Drosophila melanogaster: one gene and its partners. The protein of the gene in region 2 interacts with the protein of the main gene of each other region in a pairwise test. Each region holds a gene or a part of one and is shown on either strand. Other genes may lie near its edges.

Region 1 (7,247 bases), 7.3 Mb from region 2:
AAAAACTTGAGCTTGGAGAGCAAACTCCACCTTGCAAAGAACAACGAATGAAGATTACTCTTTTGTTGTTGAGACCATAAATAAAAACTATCGAAATAATGGAGTGAAAAAATATAAAGTGAAAAATTGTACAATATGACTTGTCGAAAACTCGTTCGTTACATTAACCATTCATGAGTTTACAAATGCATAATTAAATGTTTCTTTCTCTTATACTCGATTAACTTGTTTTATACACACAATAAGAAATAAATATTTTAACAAACATTAATCGTTAACTTTAATAATGACAATGAATGGCTTTTACCCCAAAACTTAAATCGAATTGAACTGAATTGAATGAATAATACAAACAAAAGTTTAAAAAAAAGGTGAAGTTTTCTCTCAAAATTGTTTTGGCTGCCTGGCACTTGCACTTTCTCAGTTGCTGCTTCAATATTTCTGATTTTGTTATATATTTTTTATTTACTTTTTACGTTTACTTTTTATGTACGTAAGTCTGAACCTGAATCGGTGTTCATGGCCAAGTCAAGACTGGAAAGTTTCCACAATTTAGTGTTAGCTTTATTTGTTTGTCACTGCCAGTTAAAACCATTTTAAAGTAACACTCTTCTTGGTTTAATCTTTTTCAGGACCTGGTCAATCGGATCTATAATTATTTCTCAACGCCATAGAAATCAATTATAGCAACTCAACAGCATCATAAAGAAATCGAAACGAAACTGAATATTAATCAGATTGCTTGTTATAGTTATGTAGTTTAAGTACCAGACACTCTGAGGATCGCCACAATCAAATAACTTGGGAACGGGAACAAGTTTTTAGTAAAATTTCTTTACACTAACAAACATCATTGTAACTGAGAATCGAAAGTTTTTATTGTTGAACGCGATTTGGTAGCAGCACTAAAACCATACAAAACAATTCTAACACAACTACGAAGCAAATAGCGAAAGCGAATATATACTAATCCTAAAAGTTAAGATAAAGAATGCAGGTGCAATGAGGTAGCAACGAAACGAAACAAAATCCAAGAAATCGACTATGCTTGATATGTATCCGGATAACACGAAAGCGCACATCAAACACGACTAATAATATATTAAATATTTTTGTTACTTGCGAACAATATTATTTCATTTATGAATATTATCTTTTGTTTGTCATCAATATTTATTATTTTACTTAGTTCGTATGCATACGAACGTTCTGCACATTTATTTGAATATTATTATTTGATACATAAATAAACTATATTTTGTGTTGTACAATTTTATATGCAGTAAACATTTTTAGTAAATAAAGAAGTCAAATCAAAAAACTTGTACTTGTTTGTATACAATATCGATGGAAATAAAACCGACGATTTGGCTCTTGAATACATGGCCCATACAAAAATAAAACACTTGTAGAGGTGCAGAGAAGCCAAGTGTAGCAAAACCTTTTCATACTGTTACGTTTTTGTTTAAATTCGTTACATGAGTATACATACTTCATAACATACAATATTTTCATATTTCATAGTTTGGACTTGCTGATCGATGTGTAACGCCAACTTTAAATTGTTAGCTACTAGCGTTACAATCAACTAACTTTTAACTCTAGATTATATACCGATATTGCATAGTCACTTAATTTGAATAGTTTGAAAAGCTATATGAACATTAAATGCATATGTTAAGTATGTTAATAGTTTACGTATTTACTATGAAAAACCTTCAACAGTAAGTTTTTATAGTTGGCATCGAGATAATTTCCATTTGTACAACTTATCCCATATGAGATCAGCAATATAATATGCTTAACAACTGAATATACAATATTTGTTTAAAAATAGCAACAAAACTCGTAGATACATTTTGTAAAGTTATTGTGTACAATATTGCTTGGCTAGGTAACTTTTATATATTTCTCACATACCATTTAAGTGGCTAGACTGTCCACCTGGACTTCCATCAGCTCTTGCACAATGCGATACTCATGACAGTCGGAGCACAGTAGGCGACCATTCGAACGGTTTGAGCGCTGCGCCTTCTCATGACAGACAATGTGCACTAGTTTGAGATTCTTTAGGGAGAATATTTCTAGAAAGTACTCCAGTACTGAGATATCGACCACTTGCTTCTTATGAATTGAACACTTGGTCTGCGGATGACTCACAAGTTCTTCCACATTTGCAACAAGTGCGGGAAGGATTGTGCGGCACAGTTCGATTTGGTGGTCCAGATTCCAGACCTGAAACAAAATGAGATTCTCACGCGAAGCGTACGGATTAATAGTGTGCTGCTTAGAGCAGCTGTTGCCATTCTCCGAATAGGAGCCCTGGCAATAGAAGTCACCCAAGTCGGAGCACAAGGAAGTGGACCATTCGTCGAGGATGCAGTTTTCCTTGGTGTACTCCCTAATCACCTGCCTCAGTCTCTTGCTGGGTATCCTGCCAGCGTCTGTTTCCTCGTCGCCCAAGTGCTGCTTCAGGAATTCATGCTTTTGCTTGCAATTCCGGTCAAACATCATGGAGAAAAAGTCGCAACCGATGAGCAGGTATCGAAACTTCTCCAGCACAGAGTTTATCACTTGTCGGGCCTTGGCATTTTGGCGGTACAAGGGATTGCGGGTCAGCTCCTCCTTGGCCTTATAGTAGTAGCCTCGCACACGTGTCTGGGCACGTGTGGCCATAGCTTCCTCCTTAGAGTGGAAGCGCTCCTCGCCGCCCGTGAACCACTCCACGTGCTCGGCCTTTAAGCTGAGGTGGGTCTTGCTGTTATCCAGGACGCGTCGCTGCTTTTGGTGTTCATACTCCGTTATCATGCGGCGGAACTTTTCCGGATGCTGTTCGATAAAATCGTAGAAAATGTCAGCCACCTTTAGCAAAGGCGATTGTTGTCGCATCTTCTCAAACTCAAAATCGGCATCTAATAGAAGACAGATTAATTGTGATTAAGTTAAATATTTAAACTGCAGCTCACCTGTTGTAATGACTGCATCCGGGCCAGACACTATGAACAGCGTCTGGGCGGGTAGGCTTTTTAAGTACTCATCGTCGGACACCTCGAAGCCATCAGAAGCCAAATACAAATGTGGCTCGAGAAGCTAAAAGGTAAAAAAAAAACGATTTAATTGTAATGCCCTTGACATGGCCGAATTATAACGAGGCCAGGTCGCCCAATTCCTGGTTCAGGGGCCTTCAGTTTGTTTCACATTTCTCTTTTTTTTTTTTTGCCAGGCAAGGACGTTCCATCAACAGGTGGTTAGCTCTACTATACAGGACATGCGCATTGGCATTTACTAGTGGCATTGAAAGAGAGCCAAACAAACGCGGAAGCCACTGCCAGGGACATGGCCTTGAAAATTACCAGAGCCAGGAACTTTCAGCCCATCTACGTGGGTGGGTGTATATTTCGCGCTTTTACGCAGGAGTTTTTCCTGTTTTTTTTTTCTTACCGGGAACTTGCTTTTTGCCTTGGCTATCAGCATTTCCAGGGAATTGGCTCCGATTCCGTATTTCCTCGTTCGCTCGTTGTCAGTAACCTTGTAGCCACGCATTGGAGCACCTGCTGTTCCCCTGGATTCGGATGAGCTCACATCCTTGAGAACTTCGCCTGTTGGCTGGCTGCTTTTCTTGTTATTCGAGCTGCTGCGTGTTGTCGGTGACATGATTGCATCTCTAATGTAGCTGATCATCGTTCTGGCTCATAATAAAGTCAACTTTGGAATGTAGTCCTCGCAGCAAGTTTCCTTATCCGCGGACAAAGCAAAATAAACTAGCAGAACAAGGCATTTTTCGCGCTTCTCAACACTAGATTCTCATTGAAAGATTCTTTAGTTGTGCTGCAATTTTAGCTAAAAATTGCAAAAAGCTATATAATAATAATTTATTTTTTCCCGTGTTTTGTAATTAACGAAATATTTTTTATATTTTTATTAATCAATTCAAATTGATAAAATTTTCATTTATTCTTAAATTAAATAATGTGTAAATTAATAAAATGAAAATAGCCAAATTAATAAAATACAAGTTGAACGGCGCATTTCCCACCACTATTGCCTTCAGTGTTTTGCAGCACTTATGCATCTAAAAACAGCTGTTCGGGTAATCATTTTTTTTGTTAAAAGTTTCTGTGGAAAAACTATAACAAACGTAGTCTTAGTGTACAATGATCTGGGCTACGGGCTCCGCGTAATCCGCAGCTCACCCGGAAAGGCGTTTTACGATGAATCTACGGCCGCGATGCCGCAAGTGGCTGCCCCTAGCCACCCAGCAACTTCGACTGCGGAACCTTAACAGAATTCAGGGATTCAATATTGAGTCCTGGCCGCATGAGAAGTCGCTGGAGCTAGATGATCCGGATGATGTGCTCCTCTACTACACACTACACACGGACAAGGCTAGCGAAGCGTTCTACACCAGCGAAAAGCTGCCGCAGCGTCACCAACAGCAAAAGTGGGCGGAGATTTGTACGGACGACGAGGCCTGGCGGAAAACCAATGCGCAGTGTGTCTGTGTCAAGGTGTGGAAGCACTATTCGGCGGAAAGAAGAGATGGCCAACCGCCTGAGGTTGAGCAAAGACATAAGGATGTTTTCGGGTAAATAGGAGACTTTGCTTGCAAATAGAACTCTGCTATCATCAACCAACTTACTTCCAGAAGATCCCAGTTAACGCCCAGCAGGCTGCCACGCCCTCCTGAACTACTGTTCAGCTGGGGCGTCTACTTCTCCGGCCTTATACCTCTGTCTCCCCTCACATTGTCCCAGTGCGGACGAAATTGCTTGGTCTTTCAATTGAATGGCGAGCAATTTGCCTCCCCGTCGATGATAAGCGAGCAGGCCTTGCAGTCGCAGCTGCATTTGCACTACCAAAAGTATGCGGAGGAAGAGAAACTAGAAGAGCCGCAGGATGAGGGCATAAACTCGCCGGCCGTTAGTCGTAGTTCGAGTCCCGTGCTGCGAATGAGTACGATGCGCTATGCACAGCTGAAGTGCCAACGGCAGGAGATTCGGCGAAGCAACAACCTCGAAAAGCTTCTCACGTTGCAACGTCTGCAACGCTTGCATCAGCAGAAGCGGCGTCAAATGGCCGAGGTTTGCCGAGAAATAGCCCGCCTCAGTGTACACTGTGTGACCAGGAACGAGCTGCGCTTGAAGCCCCGCACGACATCGCTGTCCGGCGACTACTCCGCCCATCAGTACCATTCCATGGGCCGCGCCCTGAGCGTGTTGCTCGCCGAGCAGCAGCAGATCGCGCCCCTCACGCTTTATAATGCCCAGCAGCTAACTAGAAGGATAGAAGCGCTAAGCAGTCAACAGCGGCTACTTAAAGCGGAGCGGGAAACGTTTCGCCAACGAAACGAGCGCACCCGTCAACTTCTGAAGGAGATGAGAGAACAGCGGGAGGCACAGCAATGGGAGCTCCACAGCCAGCGACATCGACTGGAAAAAGAACGTCTGGAGCTACGAACCCTGGCACCTCAACATCTGGAACAGCGCGATCAAAAAAGACAAATAGAACGGCAGGTGGGGCTGCGGAATCAAATAACATTAAACAAGTATATTAATAAACCTTTTCACCCTTTTAAGGTGGAGCGCCGAATGTCCACACTGGTGTTGGAGCTACAGGAGATCTATAACATCCAGAATGTGGGCGGTCGGCAATTTAGTATCTGCGGCATCGCCTTCCCCCACATGGAGCAATACACGAGCGAGTCACGTCAGGCGGCAAACGCACAGCTTCTGGATAACGTCTCGCCGCTGGCAGTGAGTGCGGCACTGGGTTATGTTGCCCATTTGGTGCAGATGTTAGCCATCATTATGGATCGACCTCTGAGGAACCGTATTCTGTACGAGCCATCGAAAGCAAGGATAGTGGACGATATCAAAGAGTTGACGTACACAACAAGAGAGTAAGCACACAGACTAAATATTACCTTTTGGTATCTTATTGTTCCATCTTAGATTTCCTCTGTATACACGCTCCATTTTGCCGTCGCAGCAAACAAAGTATGCCATCTACCTTTTGCGCCAGAATGTTTCGCAGCTGTGCTTCGACATCACGGGCCAGTGCGATCTGCGAAACACTTTTGGCAATCTGCTGGAGCTATTCAGCACTCTTCGCTACATCGAACGAACGCAAAGGGATGAGGTCGACGAACGGGATGGAACTGCAGTTGGAGCTGGCTGTGGAGAAGCACGCTTGGCAAATGGGTTGACGGCGCCGCACCTGTCGCAATCGCACTCTTCGGTCGACATGAATCATGTGCCACTGCCGACTGGCGTCAATGCGGTCAAGGATGCACTGCTCCAGCAGCTGTTGCCGCCGGGTGTGAGTGAGGCACTGGCAATCGAAGGCTATGCGTCAACTCAACGGTAATCTATATATACATATATTTAGAGCCAAAAACAAAAACTACCGGATAAAATTTAATAATAATATATTGTAATATTCTTGCAGCATTTGCCGTTCGGTGGGGTCCTATTCAGATGGCGAGGATGAGTTTCGCCCGCGACTGGAGCATAACTATTCCAATTCGGACTCCAACATAACTCTGCAAACTGAGCGCAGCTGAGCTAATGCACCCAAAAGTGTTATATTTCCAGCGTTTATATCCAATATCCAAGATAGCATTGTTTAGCGGCTCCTCCTCAGCGGGTTTCTTGGTATTGGCCGCGTATTGTATACTTTTAAATTATAAAAGTCAATGGTGAAGTATATGTGAACGGTAGTCCATTGCGATAATATTATTTTTAGTTGTTTAAGATCTCTGTGTAAATTCCCTTTTATTGTTTGTTTGCTAATATAAGCTACGAATAAAGATTAAATATTTTATACATGACAAATATTTATTTAATATGGATGACAAACATTAGAAACACGTCGATAGAGATTAAGTCGAACAATATCCAAGGTCACAATAAACGAAGTGGTTACGATGCGGAAAACCTAAGCCTTTCTTCATATGTTCTGAAATAATGCTGAGCCCCAAAATTAGTTTATTTGTATATTCTGTTTGAAAAGTATTTTTATGAGTTTTAATTATAGTTTGAATTAGGCGCCAAAAAGTGTTGCAAAGTATGAAGATAAATTGCTCCTTTAACTTATAAAAATTATACCATGTGCTACTGTTACTACATAATATTGTACAATCTGCTTATATTAACTTTTGCTTTATAATTTAAAATGTAAGTTTTGCTTTAAATCCTTAATAAACTCAAAATATTACAGCCACTGCTTGGTCAGTGCTGCAAAACGTT
Region 2 (5,387 bases):
TTTAAGTTTAAAAGTATCTTAAAAATACACTTAGGTACCTATAATCCATGTAATACGGATCAGTACCAATATAGTTCATATTAATTTAAGGCATCCCTTACAGAGATTAAATGTTTTCCTTCTATCAACTCGGTTTGCTCATGATGTTCCAAATGCCGTGCACTTAATGGTAATTTTGAATGATTTACTTTCAAATGGACATTTTTTTTGTAAAACCTGCTCGGATTCAAAGGATGTTCCCTTTTGAGTATAGTGCATCCTTACCGTGTTCTGCTGCCCGAATTGGCGTCGGTCTGAGCACTGATTTGTAATCCATATAGGGGCCAGGGAACAGCTTATCCAGACCCACGAAGGGGTACGTGTGCGATGAAGTGGGTGTGAAAGTGGGCGGAAGCGTGGCATGTCCAAACCTACGGGATTCGGCATTCGCCTGGCTGAAGCAGTGGGGGAAGGAGCAGCAGGCTAGAATGCTGCCATCGCAGCATGACTTGGTCGAGGGCGAGGAGGAGCTCTGCCGGTGGGATTCCTCGGGTTCCGAGCCCAACAGACGATCCACACTGAAGCTCAGCTTGACTTTGGTGGTGCTCGTGGCGCTGGTTGGCGACGTACTGACTATGGTAGTCGAGGCACAGGATTCTTTGGTGGGCAGCTCATGATCGACATTCACTGGATCGGGACACTTTGCCAGCGTTGGATTCACTTCACACTCGCCGTACATGTGAGTGCTGAGGTTCTCGGGCATACTCTGTTCCATGCTGGCGGCACTCTCGTGTAGTAACATTGTCCGGATATGTGTTGTATATGGTTTCTATCTACGAATCTCGACACAGGACACTCAAAACTGATTTCACACGTTCACAATCGATAGGGACTATCTATCATGTCCAAAACACCGTCGCTGTGCACCAATAAAACGATCGCGAATTTTGGCTTAGGTCTCGTGCACCTCCGATTAAACCGCCTTGCAAGACATCCCACTCAGAACTGATCGGAACCGGCCAGGGAGCACGCTCAACCAGCCATCGATTGCCGATCGGCCAGCCAACGCGGAACAGTCTGTTGGCGGTGGGGTTAATCTCGCTGAGATTGTGTATTCCTGGTGCTGACAGTGGGGCAAGGAGTGCGAGATGATCAGGATATAATGCTAACAATAAATAATGGCTATATGTTCGATATACAGGATATACAAACCAGGATATTTTTTTATCCAACGTGTATATTGTTTATAAAGTAATACTCAAGAAGAGTAATACTATCAAGAAAGATTAGATTTTTGGGCTTCGGTTGGTGGTAACATTGGTTTCTATTCCGCTGAAGATCTATATACCTCTAGAAAGTGCCCTAAAATTATGTTAATCCACTTACCATAGACCTGATCCCACTGTAGCCACACACAGATGGGATACCTTGCCATGCCGATCGCTTGTTTACACACAAGCATGCCGCTGTGTCATTAGCTCAGTCGGAGATCGTTTCCTCGAGCGCAGCCGAGATTTGTTTACCGATTTCTCCATATGTTCCCGTACTCCCACACACAGACACACACACCCCATCCGAATTCCGGTTTCCCTGCGCAGAGGCCATGTCGAGTGGCTCGTGGTTCGTGATTTCTGGCCAATGCGATCGATCCGCAGTGGTGGGCGGAGCCACTGGTGGCGCTGATGCGGCATCTCGCTTTCGCGCCCAAGGAATGTGCCTTCCATTGGCTTGGGATTGAGCGATCTGCGCGAACTCCACCTGCTCCACGCTGTCTGGGTTCAATGAAGTGGGTAACCGGGACTGGTGGTCATAAATCAGAAACCGCATTCCACAAGCGGAAATCCGCAAAACGGAACACGAACGGATCGTCGGGGTTGGAAAACTTAAGTAGAAATGTGTAAATTGCGGAGCGAAACTGGCGTTATTAATAGGAAAATTGTCGTGACTACCTTAAGATAGCATACTTTCCGGCACAAAACTCCCATCCAAGCGGGCGGATTTGGTGCCAAAAACACCCTAGCACCACAAGCCCACAAAGTGACCCAGAAAATGTGGAATATGCAAATGCAATGGCAGCGGAAAATCCATCGCCAGTCGGTGACACTTTTATCCTCTTCAAAGTGAAGTCCGATTAATAATAAAATAATCCTTTTTACTTAAAAAAAAAGATTCAGATACATTCCAGGATATGCCGAACGTTCAAAGATACTGATTGGAAAGAGCATGGCTTAAATTCCATTAACCCATTTAAAGTGCAAATTGAGCCTTAGTGATTGTAGCCAACAACTTTTCCCGGAAAATTATAGGGCATACAACAAATGAAAGCGAAACGCAATCAAACTATGTAAACAGACACGAACGCCACTTATTCTTGAGGAATCGCTGGAAACCGCAACCAAATCGTTGCGGGGCAACTCAATTCACTTTGGCCCAGGAACAGTGCGCTGCCACCACTCGAATGGAGTCGTTCTCAGCGTCCAGGTGCTCCACCATACCGTCACCACTGCCGCACAGTGCCAGTGGCATGGACAGTCCGGATATCTGTGAGCCGCCGCAGGATGAGCAGGAGTTCTGCTTTCGCTATCCCAGCTACATGTTTCCGGACGTGGAGTACGACAAGGAGGATGTGCCGCTACCCTTCAAGGCCTCGCCGGACTCGCTCTTCAATCTCTGCGCCGCCGTCGTGGATTCCCAAGCCCGCACTGAGGTCTTCAAGTGGAGCATCAACGATGTGACCGACTGGCTGCGCAACTTTGGTTATCCCGAGTACGAGGTGGGCTAAGATTCTTACTCACTATGTTGGGTAACCTATAGCTTCGTTACAGCAAACTTTTCGGGAGAACTACATTGATGGACACAAGCTGCTGAATCTGGACGCAGTTGCTCTGGTTGCGCTCAACGTTCGCAACTTCGAGCACATCCGCCACCTGGGCCGCGGCATACGAGCGCTTTACAGGAAGGAGCTGCAAACGGCGACGGAGACCAAGCAGCAGAGTGAGGTCTATAAGACATTCCGGGCCCGCACTGGCCGAAGGTACGAGGGATTGCGGGAGACGGAGCTACTGGGCCGCATGCACATGATTCGCTCCGTTTTCCGCGACGTCAACGACTGGGATCTGATGGAGCTGCACATGTCCAGGGCGCCGGTGAGGCGGTATCGCGAGATCGTCGCTGGCTCCAGACGCTACAACCTCTATGGCCCATCGACAGCGCGCCGGGAACCCATCATTACGGACGATGTGGATGCCACACCGTGGTACAACTTCGAGGATTGCTACTGATTCACTTTCAACTTGAAATCGTGGTTAGCTTTTGGAGCAATAAAGTAACTTCTTTAGTGGACAATTAAATTTTAATTGAAGGAACGGTCAGCTTAAATCACTTTCTCTGCGCCATCGACGATAAGCACAAATTGGTGGCTCTCCAAGTCAAATCCTACGACTGCCCCACCTCATTGGATCACCGATGCTGCCCAATCAGTCGACACGGCGCATTGATCACTTATCGCTCTGAATTGTTGCTTTTGCTGTTGTTTTGTGGAGGGGTAGTGGGGGACTGGGAACTGGGGACTATAGGATCAGTGTTGTTACCGTCGAGAGCCGTCCGCATTCGCGTCCGCTCACGTGTTCAAATTTATTGATTGTTCTGCTCACAAGACACGGCGTTCCAGCTTTTCCTCCGCAATCCAGCGAACTGAGCTTCGCTCTGAGTTTTGAGATCTGGGCACGGCGTCCAGCTGTGCGGCATGGGAGACGTACGTGTGGTCGGCTTATGTTATATTTCCCGACATCTTGTGTGTCCGTCGATCGGTGGGTGAGCATAGCATAGACCGAGATTGAGTCCCCTGCTCAGAGCTATGTACGCCTAGATGCAACCTAAGACGCTGCCACGCCGTCACACACTGGCCATGCAAATTGCCTTTGGCCTTTATTAACTTAGGCCATAGGATTGAGACTACCTTAATAACTCGTTCCGTTAACACTTTATTATGTTCGAGGCGCATAAATCGTTCCATCACCCGGACATGGTCCCGAGGAGGTCCCCAAGTCCCCCACTCATCCAGTTCCCTAGTTCCCCGAGTTCCCAAGTTACCAAGTTCCAGAGTGTCTGCGTTCGGGCCAACGTTGGCGATTATGATTTATCGCATTTTAATCAATTTAAAATGTTTAAACGATACGAATCGGAAGAAATTATGAATGTGTTGCTGTCTCCAGGCTCCACAGTAGGCCACCAATAACAACAGCCACATAACCCACACCAAACTGATACCCATATACCCATGCCCATACCTCTACCCCTACCCATGAGAGCCATGCCCGACGAATACCCGATTCGAGGACCCAGCGATCATCGTCAGCAAGCGTTATCCGACGCGTACCTCGTTTGTAAGTCTCCACCACATCTCGTGTTACCTACGGTCTCGATCGCCTCGCAGACCTACGCGCTACATATTAGTCAGAGATCAGGGACGGATTCGAAAGTGGGTTCTTCCACTAACTGGTCAAAAGTAACACCACTCTGGATTAAAGGGCAGAGGTACATTTCTATGGTCACCAAGTAAGATTATGTTAATTTATTATGCCTTTAAATATCGGAAAGGCATTTTTTCAATAATATATTATAATAATGTATAATGTAAAAGTATTTTTAAGTCAAAGAACTTAATGGTGGAAGACCAAATTTCATCCCACCAATTGCCTTGGTATGAACACAGCGCCATAGAACCGGACCTGGATTAAGCCAGCAATACCTTTCGCGGATCGGGGATGAGGGATGATCGCGTGCTGCGCGGACTGGGCGACTGAGTTGCAGAGTGCGTTTCGGGCGCGACGACGGCGCAGCGACGATTATGATTAAAGATGATAAGCGAAATATTTTTATCATTTCTCAAATTAACATAAACCATATGTGATTATCACACAATAAGCGCAGTTGGTCTGTTGGACGAGCTCCAATCCCCCCATTCCACACGCTGGCCTTTTTTGTTGCTCGCTTTTTATAAGCTTTTATGCCCCTCACTGCGGTCGGGATAAGTTATGGCATTGCTGTGGGATTTGGTCGTGGCGTTGGTCAGGATTCGGTCGCGGCAGTGTCAATGGCATCGGCGAATTTATGAGGATTTATCTGCGGTCGGACCGTTGGATCCTGGATCTTGCATTCGGGGTCGTTCTGGTGTCATAAAGAAGTTTTATTCGATGCTTAACCTATGCGTACGGACTAAAATGGTTTGAAGCGGCGCGACTGCTTGAGCAGCCCGATCTTTCGCTTTTCCTCCTCGAACTTCTTGCGCATCTCGACGATATTCTGCATCTTGCTCTCGCGTATTTGGAAGGTGTAGAAGTTCTTTAGCTCCTTGGTCTTATTGCCCTTGGCCACCTTCTCCTCCAGGCGTCCAATTACGGACGCCT
Region 3 (5,525 bases), 4.4 Mb from region 2:
TGGAGAATAAAGTTAATTCATACGCTCTTACACCCATTTACTCGTTTGTACATAAGTAGTTACTTTGTTTACGAGCATTCGTATATACATATACATACATACATGTGTATGTATGCAGAATCATGAAAATGGTATCCACATACATTTAAGAGGAATTAATTCGTACATAAGGCTGTATACGCACGGGTATATACACACATTCAACAAATAAACGTATGCAGATCCATGGGCAGCATAAAAAGTGTAATCGAACGGCTAGAAAACATACCCTGCACCGAAATAAAATACATTTCGTGAAAAGTACTCACCCTAATATCCACTGTTAATTCTATGTATGCAATTCCTTTTGTTGCAGCGAGTGTTGACGTTGAGCCACCAGCAGCGTATGTATTACATATACATATCTCTTTCGTATTAATACCGAGAATCCTTGTGTTTTCAACAACAGTTTGATAAGTTTACCCAACTTTTTTTTTTGTAATGTCGTCCAGTCGACTTCAACTAGTAGTACGATTATGTGTTTTGGGATTATATCAAAATGCACAGCTAAAGTAAACCGTTTTGCGATAAACTCTTCGTTTACACATTGCAAATATGCATGACACTTCTATTAACTATTTTAGTTCACTGCGCTTATGCGAATTTCAACTATAGGTAAAAAATTCTTTATTTATCATTCAGCTCGTTTTAATTTTCGTGTGCTCGGGATCGCCATCTTTGTTCTCTTCGTGCGTCATCTGTAGCGTTGCGATTCGATAAGAATCGATAGTCCCTTCGATAGACGTACACCTCGACAACCTTAACGCACTGTTTACACCGTTGTCGTTGCGCGATAAACAGGTTACATTTTTTAACTTTGCACTTGAAAAAATATGTTTTTGAGACAATCAGGATAATTTATTTGTATAAAATTGCATTTTATACTGAAATTAAATAGAAAAATTCTAAAAAGAGTAGACTCTGTTATTAAGCTGTGCTATAATTTTAAATTAAATTCAGAAGCTTAAAACACGACGAACCAGGTAAATGGGTTGAAGAAATTTATATAAAAACTTAGTATAAGTGTAATAAGAAAAACTTTGGGTTTCAATAGCTATAACACCATTTGGAAAATCCAATTTTCAAATCTACTATAAACAACGTATAAGGAAAAATAAAGAAAAAATATTAGAAATGTGTTTTTATAATGGTATCATAGCTTCATACAATTTTACTAAGGTCCTCGTTTTTAGTCCCCATAAATCCAGGAATTATTTCGATATTCCGCTCTCTTAAGACATTCCCCGGACACAAATCCTAATCATAGATATTAACAGGTATATGAAAAGTTTATTGCATTGGAAAAACAGTTTGTTGTGCATTTAGCTCCATCGGTAATGTGCGTAGGCGCGGTTGCTTTCGCACAGCCTGTGCAGATCGTCCTTTCGCTTGATGACCCTTCCCTGGCCATGGGCTGCGTCGAGAATCTCCCAGGCCAACTTTTCCGGCAGGGACACCTTACGCTCCTTCTCGCGGGCAGCTTCCAAGAGCCACTTCATGGCCAGAAAATATGACCGCTTCGTGGTGATGGGAACAGGGACTTGATAGGTGACACCACCACGTTTTATGGCGGTCACTTGAAGGAGCGGTCGGCAGTTTTCAACCGCTTGTTTCAGAAGCGTTTCGGGATTGGTGTTTATGGTTGTCTTCTCCCCTTTGGCCAGATTCATGTGCTCCGTCTGGGTTCGTTTTATTAGCTCCAGCGTCTTGGACAAAAGCGTTCTGGCCAAGGCACTGTTCCCCTTTTTCGTTATATAATTGATCATTTTATGTTTTGTATCGTCGTGAAAGATGGTATCAGACGATTTGTTGACCGCCGCCTTGATGGGCACATGGTAAAGCTTGGACAGATCATTCTTTTGCTCTAGTTGTTTATATTTTTGTACAATTGGTTCGACATAGTGTGTGGGATACACCGACATCAATCGAAGGCAGCTACAATAAACAAATGGGTGATCAGTCATTTGTGTTTTTAGAGATAAGTAACACTTTAGAGAAGTTTAACTTACCTGAGCCTTGAAGTTTTCTCTGCAATCCTACCTAAAAGCGACATGTTTACATCGTCTGCTGTGTCGGCAAAAAATAAAAAAACTATGTTATATATATGTTATGCACATTTGCGGCATGCATATAGGTGTGTCAAGATATCGACAAAGAGCTTAGTAATTTTGAAACAACAAAAATGAAGTAAAACAGTTGCGGTATTCCAATTACATTTTTTAAATTAATTTCTTTAGTACCGTACTACTGGTACTCACCTTCAAAAGATATAAAATAGAAATTAATTGCACCAAAAACTCATAAGTTAATTAATAGTATATTAGCAGAAACGTTTGTCTCCGAACTCAAACAAAGTGATGTCTTAATTAATTGAAATCACTATAAAAAAAAGCGTGGAATTTTACAGTACACTAAAATTAACTTTAAAAAAATTAACAACATTTTTAAGATACAGCAATTCAATAAGTTGCCTGAATATTGAGTTTCATTCCCACATTCCAAATGAATAAATGTAGCTAGCTTAGCATCGTTTAAACTGTCTGGTAATACTAGAGCATATACGTCAAAAACGCGCTAATTTAAAAGTCGGTGGCTTGCAAAGAAATAGCTTAATAAATTATGGAGGATTTTGAGAAAATTGAGAAGATTGGCGAGGGCACATATGGCGTGGTGTATAAGGGTCGCAACCGCCTGACGGGCCAAATTGTGGCAATGAAGAAAATCCGCTTGGAGTCCGACGACGAAGGCGTTCCATCAACCGCGATCAGGTAAAATGCCGCGGCTTGGACGCCCAAGCCTCAAAATGTTTCATGTTCTTTCGCGACTTTTCCATTCAAATGGCTTATATGCTTAATTGAAAGTATGTTCCTTGACATCTTATGGGTTGGTTTGAAGATTTTGCAATATTGTTTTTAATTTATACTGTGGAAGTCTAGCATAATTATGTTACGGCTTATGTTCATCATACATATGTGTGTGTATGTACAATCCTATATGCGTACTTATGCTCATGTGTACATCATCATACTTTCTATTTATGTTTATTAATTGGAAGCCTGCGAATACTTTCTGGTTCAACTGATAGACCAATAACTAAAATACTTTAATCACATGTTTTTTCTATAATGTAGTAATATTTAATATCCATTACAGAGAAATTTCGTTGCTTAAGGAGTTGAAACATGAAAACATTGTCTGTTTGGAGGATGTTTTGATGGAGGAGAACCGCATATACTTGATCTTTGAATTCCTATCGATGGACCTCAAGAAATACATGGATTCGCTGCCAGTTGATAAGCACATGGAGAGTGAATTGGTCCGTAGCTATTTGTACCAAATAACTAGCGCCATTCTTTTCTGCCATCGTCGGCGAGTACTTCACCGTGATCTTAAGCCGCAGAACTTACTAATCGACAAGAGTGGCCTCATAAAAGTCGCCGACTTTGGACTTGGCCGATCCTTTGGCATTCCGGTGCGCATTTATACGCACGAGATTGTTACCTTGTGGTACAGAGCGCCGGAGGTGCTACTGGGTTCACCCCGGTATTCCTGTCCCGTCGATATCTGGTCCATTGGATGCATATTCGCGGAGATGGCAACGAGAAAGCCGCTATTCCAGGGTGACTCGGAAATTGACCAGTTGTTTAGAATGTTTAGGTAACCACAGGTAATTTACTTTCTATTCCCTGTGATACTCACACTCATTGATTGCAGAATTCTGAAAACACCTACCGAAGACATTTGGCCGGGCGTTACTTCGCTACCCGACTATAAGAACACGTTCCCCTGCTGGTCCACGAACCAATTGACCAATCAGTTAAAGAATCTCGATGCGAATGGTATTGATCTCATACAAAAGATGTTAATCTACGATCCAGTTCATCGCATTTCCGCCAAGGACATTTTGGAGCATCCCTATTTCAATGGTTTTCAATCGGGCTTAGTTCGAAATTAACGTTCGGTATTCTCGTTTGACTTTAACTAAGAATTTTAAAACAAGAGATCTTGGTATCTAATCTAAAGCAAAATAGCCGTAAATAAAACTAAGGGTGTAAAACAATCAACGTTTACTTAATTTATGTAAGTGTATTTACAGATTTACGCCAAATTACCAGCGCTCTAACAGAATAATAAGGCTTCAAGGCTTTAATTATTATACAAAAAGAAAGTTAAATATGGAAATCCTCGTTGAAACTAGTCCTATTATAGAGAGCACTGCTAGCACCGCTGTCATGACGTCTAAAGACGCCAAAGCAGCCGCGCCTCTTCATCACGTAAGCACCAATGATGGTCGGCACCGCGATGAGCAGGACAACCAAGAGTCCAACCCATATAAGACTGCCCGTCGAACTTTCTATCATATGTTCATTCGCCACTCTGAGCAGCGTAACATCGTTTAACTTGTTCGGACCGCCACATTTGACATCTTTGGCCAGAACGGGCGTGGTCTTGTTGATTCGATCTATCAAGACGTTGATCAAGAAGTCATTGGATTCGTCGCAATTCCACGGGTTGAATCTAAGATCCAGAGCCTTAAGTTTATCCCAGCGCACTAGTAGTTCTTTCGGCAAAGTCGACACGTTGCAATTATTCAAGTAAACCTAAAAGTTTATGTTATTTAGTTGATTAAAGCTCTACATGCTTTTGCACTTGAATTACCTTTTCCAATGGCGGGTAGTCCAAGTACTGGCCACCAGTTACGTTCTTGGATAGAGCCTCCTCATCAATTTCATTTAGCAGTTTGTTGTCGGACAATATCAGTTCAGTTAAACCTAAAGAAAGATGGTTGTTCGATTAAGCCATTAGCCATTAGTGCGCGCAGGTTCACAACTTACTTTGCAGTTCACTAAATGCTCCTGGCCCAATTTTGTACAACTTGGACATAAAAGTCATGCTGAGGTGGGTCAATTTGGTCAAAGGTGGAAATACACTGAAAAAATTAATAAATATATTGTTTTGCGCATACACTTAAACGAATCCTAGAATGACTCTTACTTGTCGCCAATCAAATTTTCGATGGGATTTTCGTTTAAGACCAGGCTGGTCAAGTTCGTCGCATATTTCAGGGCCTTTGGCAATTGATTAAACAGATTGCCAGCTGCTATAAAGATCTCAAGATCTCGGGGACCATGTAGAATTGTATCCGGCAAGTCATCGATTTCCATATAAGAGACATCCAAGATCTAAAACGAACAACATAAACGAGCTTTTGAGTTCGTAGAATTATAAAAACATATGAATTTCGCATACCTTCAACGATTGTAAGCCGGAAATGGCTGTTTCTGAAAGTTGATCGATGACATGAAAACTATTTGAGCAGAGAACGAGTTCCTCAATGTGGGGAATGTGTTCAAACAGATCCGCATCCAAGCTATGCAGATCGTTGTATCCCAAGTTAAGAGTCTTTAGATTTTCCAATGACTCAAAATCTTGGACAGTGAAGGGTCCTTTAAAAACATCCGGTACCAGAACTTTCGAAGTCAATC

What was found. Proteins that work in one complex are often made in the same cells at the same time.
Region 1: the proteins of CG13996 (region 2) and Drep4 interact in a two-hybrid assay, tested with the Drosophila melanogaster proteins (one large-scale study listed by BioGRID).
Region 3: the proteins of CG13996 (region 2) and mRpS7 interact in a two-hybrid assay, tested with the Drosophila melanogaster proteins (one large-scale study listed by BioGRID).

What each region holds. Positions count from the first base shown.
Region 1 is NT_033779.5:13,282,729-13,289,975, forward strand, and holds Drep4 (DNA fragmentation factor-related protein 4), read right to left. Parts: upstream 3,735-7,247; 5' UTR 3,682-3,734; coding exon 3,442-3,681; exon of another isoform or gene 3,224-3,441; intron 3,098-3,223; exon of another isoform or gene 3,091-3,097; coding exon 2,967-3,090; exon of another isoform or gene 2,913-2,966; coding exon 1,924-2,912; 3' UTR 1,184-1,923; downstream 1-1,183. Other genes in the region: Uvrag (UV-resistance associated gene), read left to right, coding at 4,212-4,585, 4,646-5,513, 5,577-5,899, 5,952-6,362, 6,448-6,562.
Region 2 is NT_033779.5:6,018,413-6,023,799, forward strand, and holds CG13996 (uncharacterized protein), read left to right. Parts: upstream 1-2,422; 5' UTR 2,423-2,437; coding exon 2,438-2,752; intron 2,753-2,804; coding exon 2,805-3,260; 3' UTR 3,261-3,306; downstream 3,307-5,387. Other genes in the region: H2.0 (homeodomain protein 2.0), read right to left, coding at 265-781; CG9107 (uncharacterized protein), read right to left, coding at 5,197-5,387.
Region 3 is NT_033779.5:10,383,311-10,388,835, reverse strand, and holds mRpS7 (mitochondrial ribosomal protein S7), read right to left. Parts: upstream 2,175-5,525; 5' UTR 2,093-2,174; coding exon 2,049-2,092; intron 1,975-2,048; coding exon 1,362-1,974; 3' UTR 1,184-1,361; downstream 1-1,183. Other genes in the region: Cdk1 (Cyclin-dependent kinase 1), read left to right, coding at 2,659-2,807, 3,193-3,696, 3,754-3,994; CG5096 (uncharacterized protein), read right to left, coding at 4,209-4,640, 4,699-4,811, 4,875-4,969, 5,035-5,222, 5,290-5,525.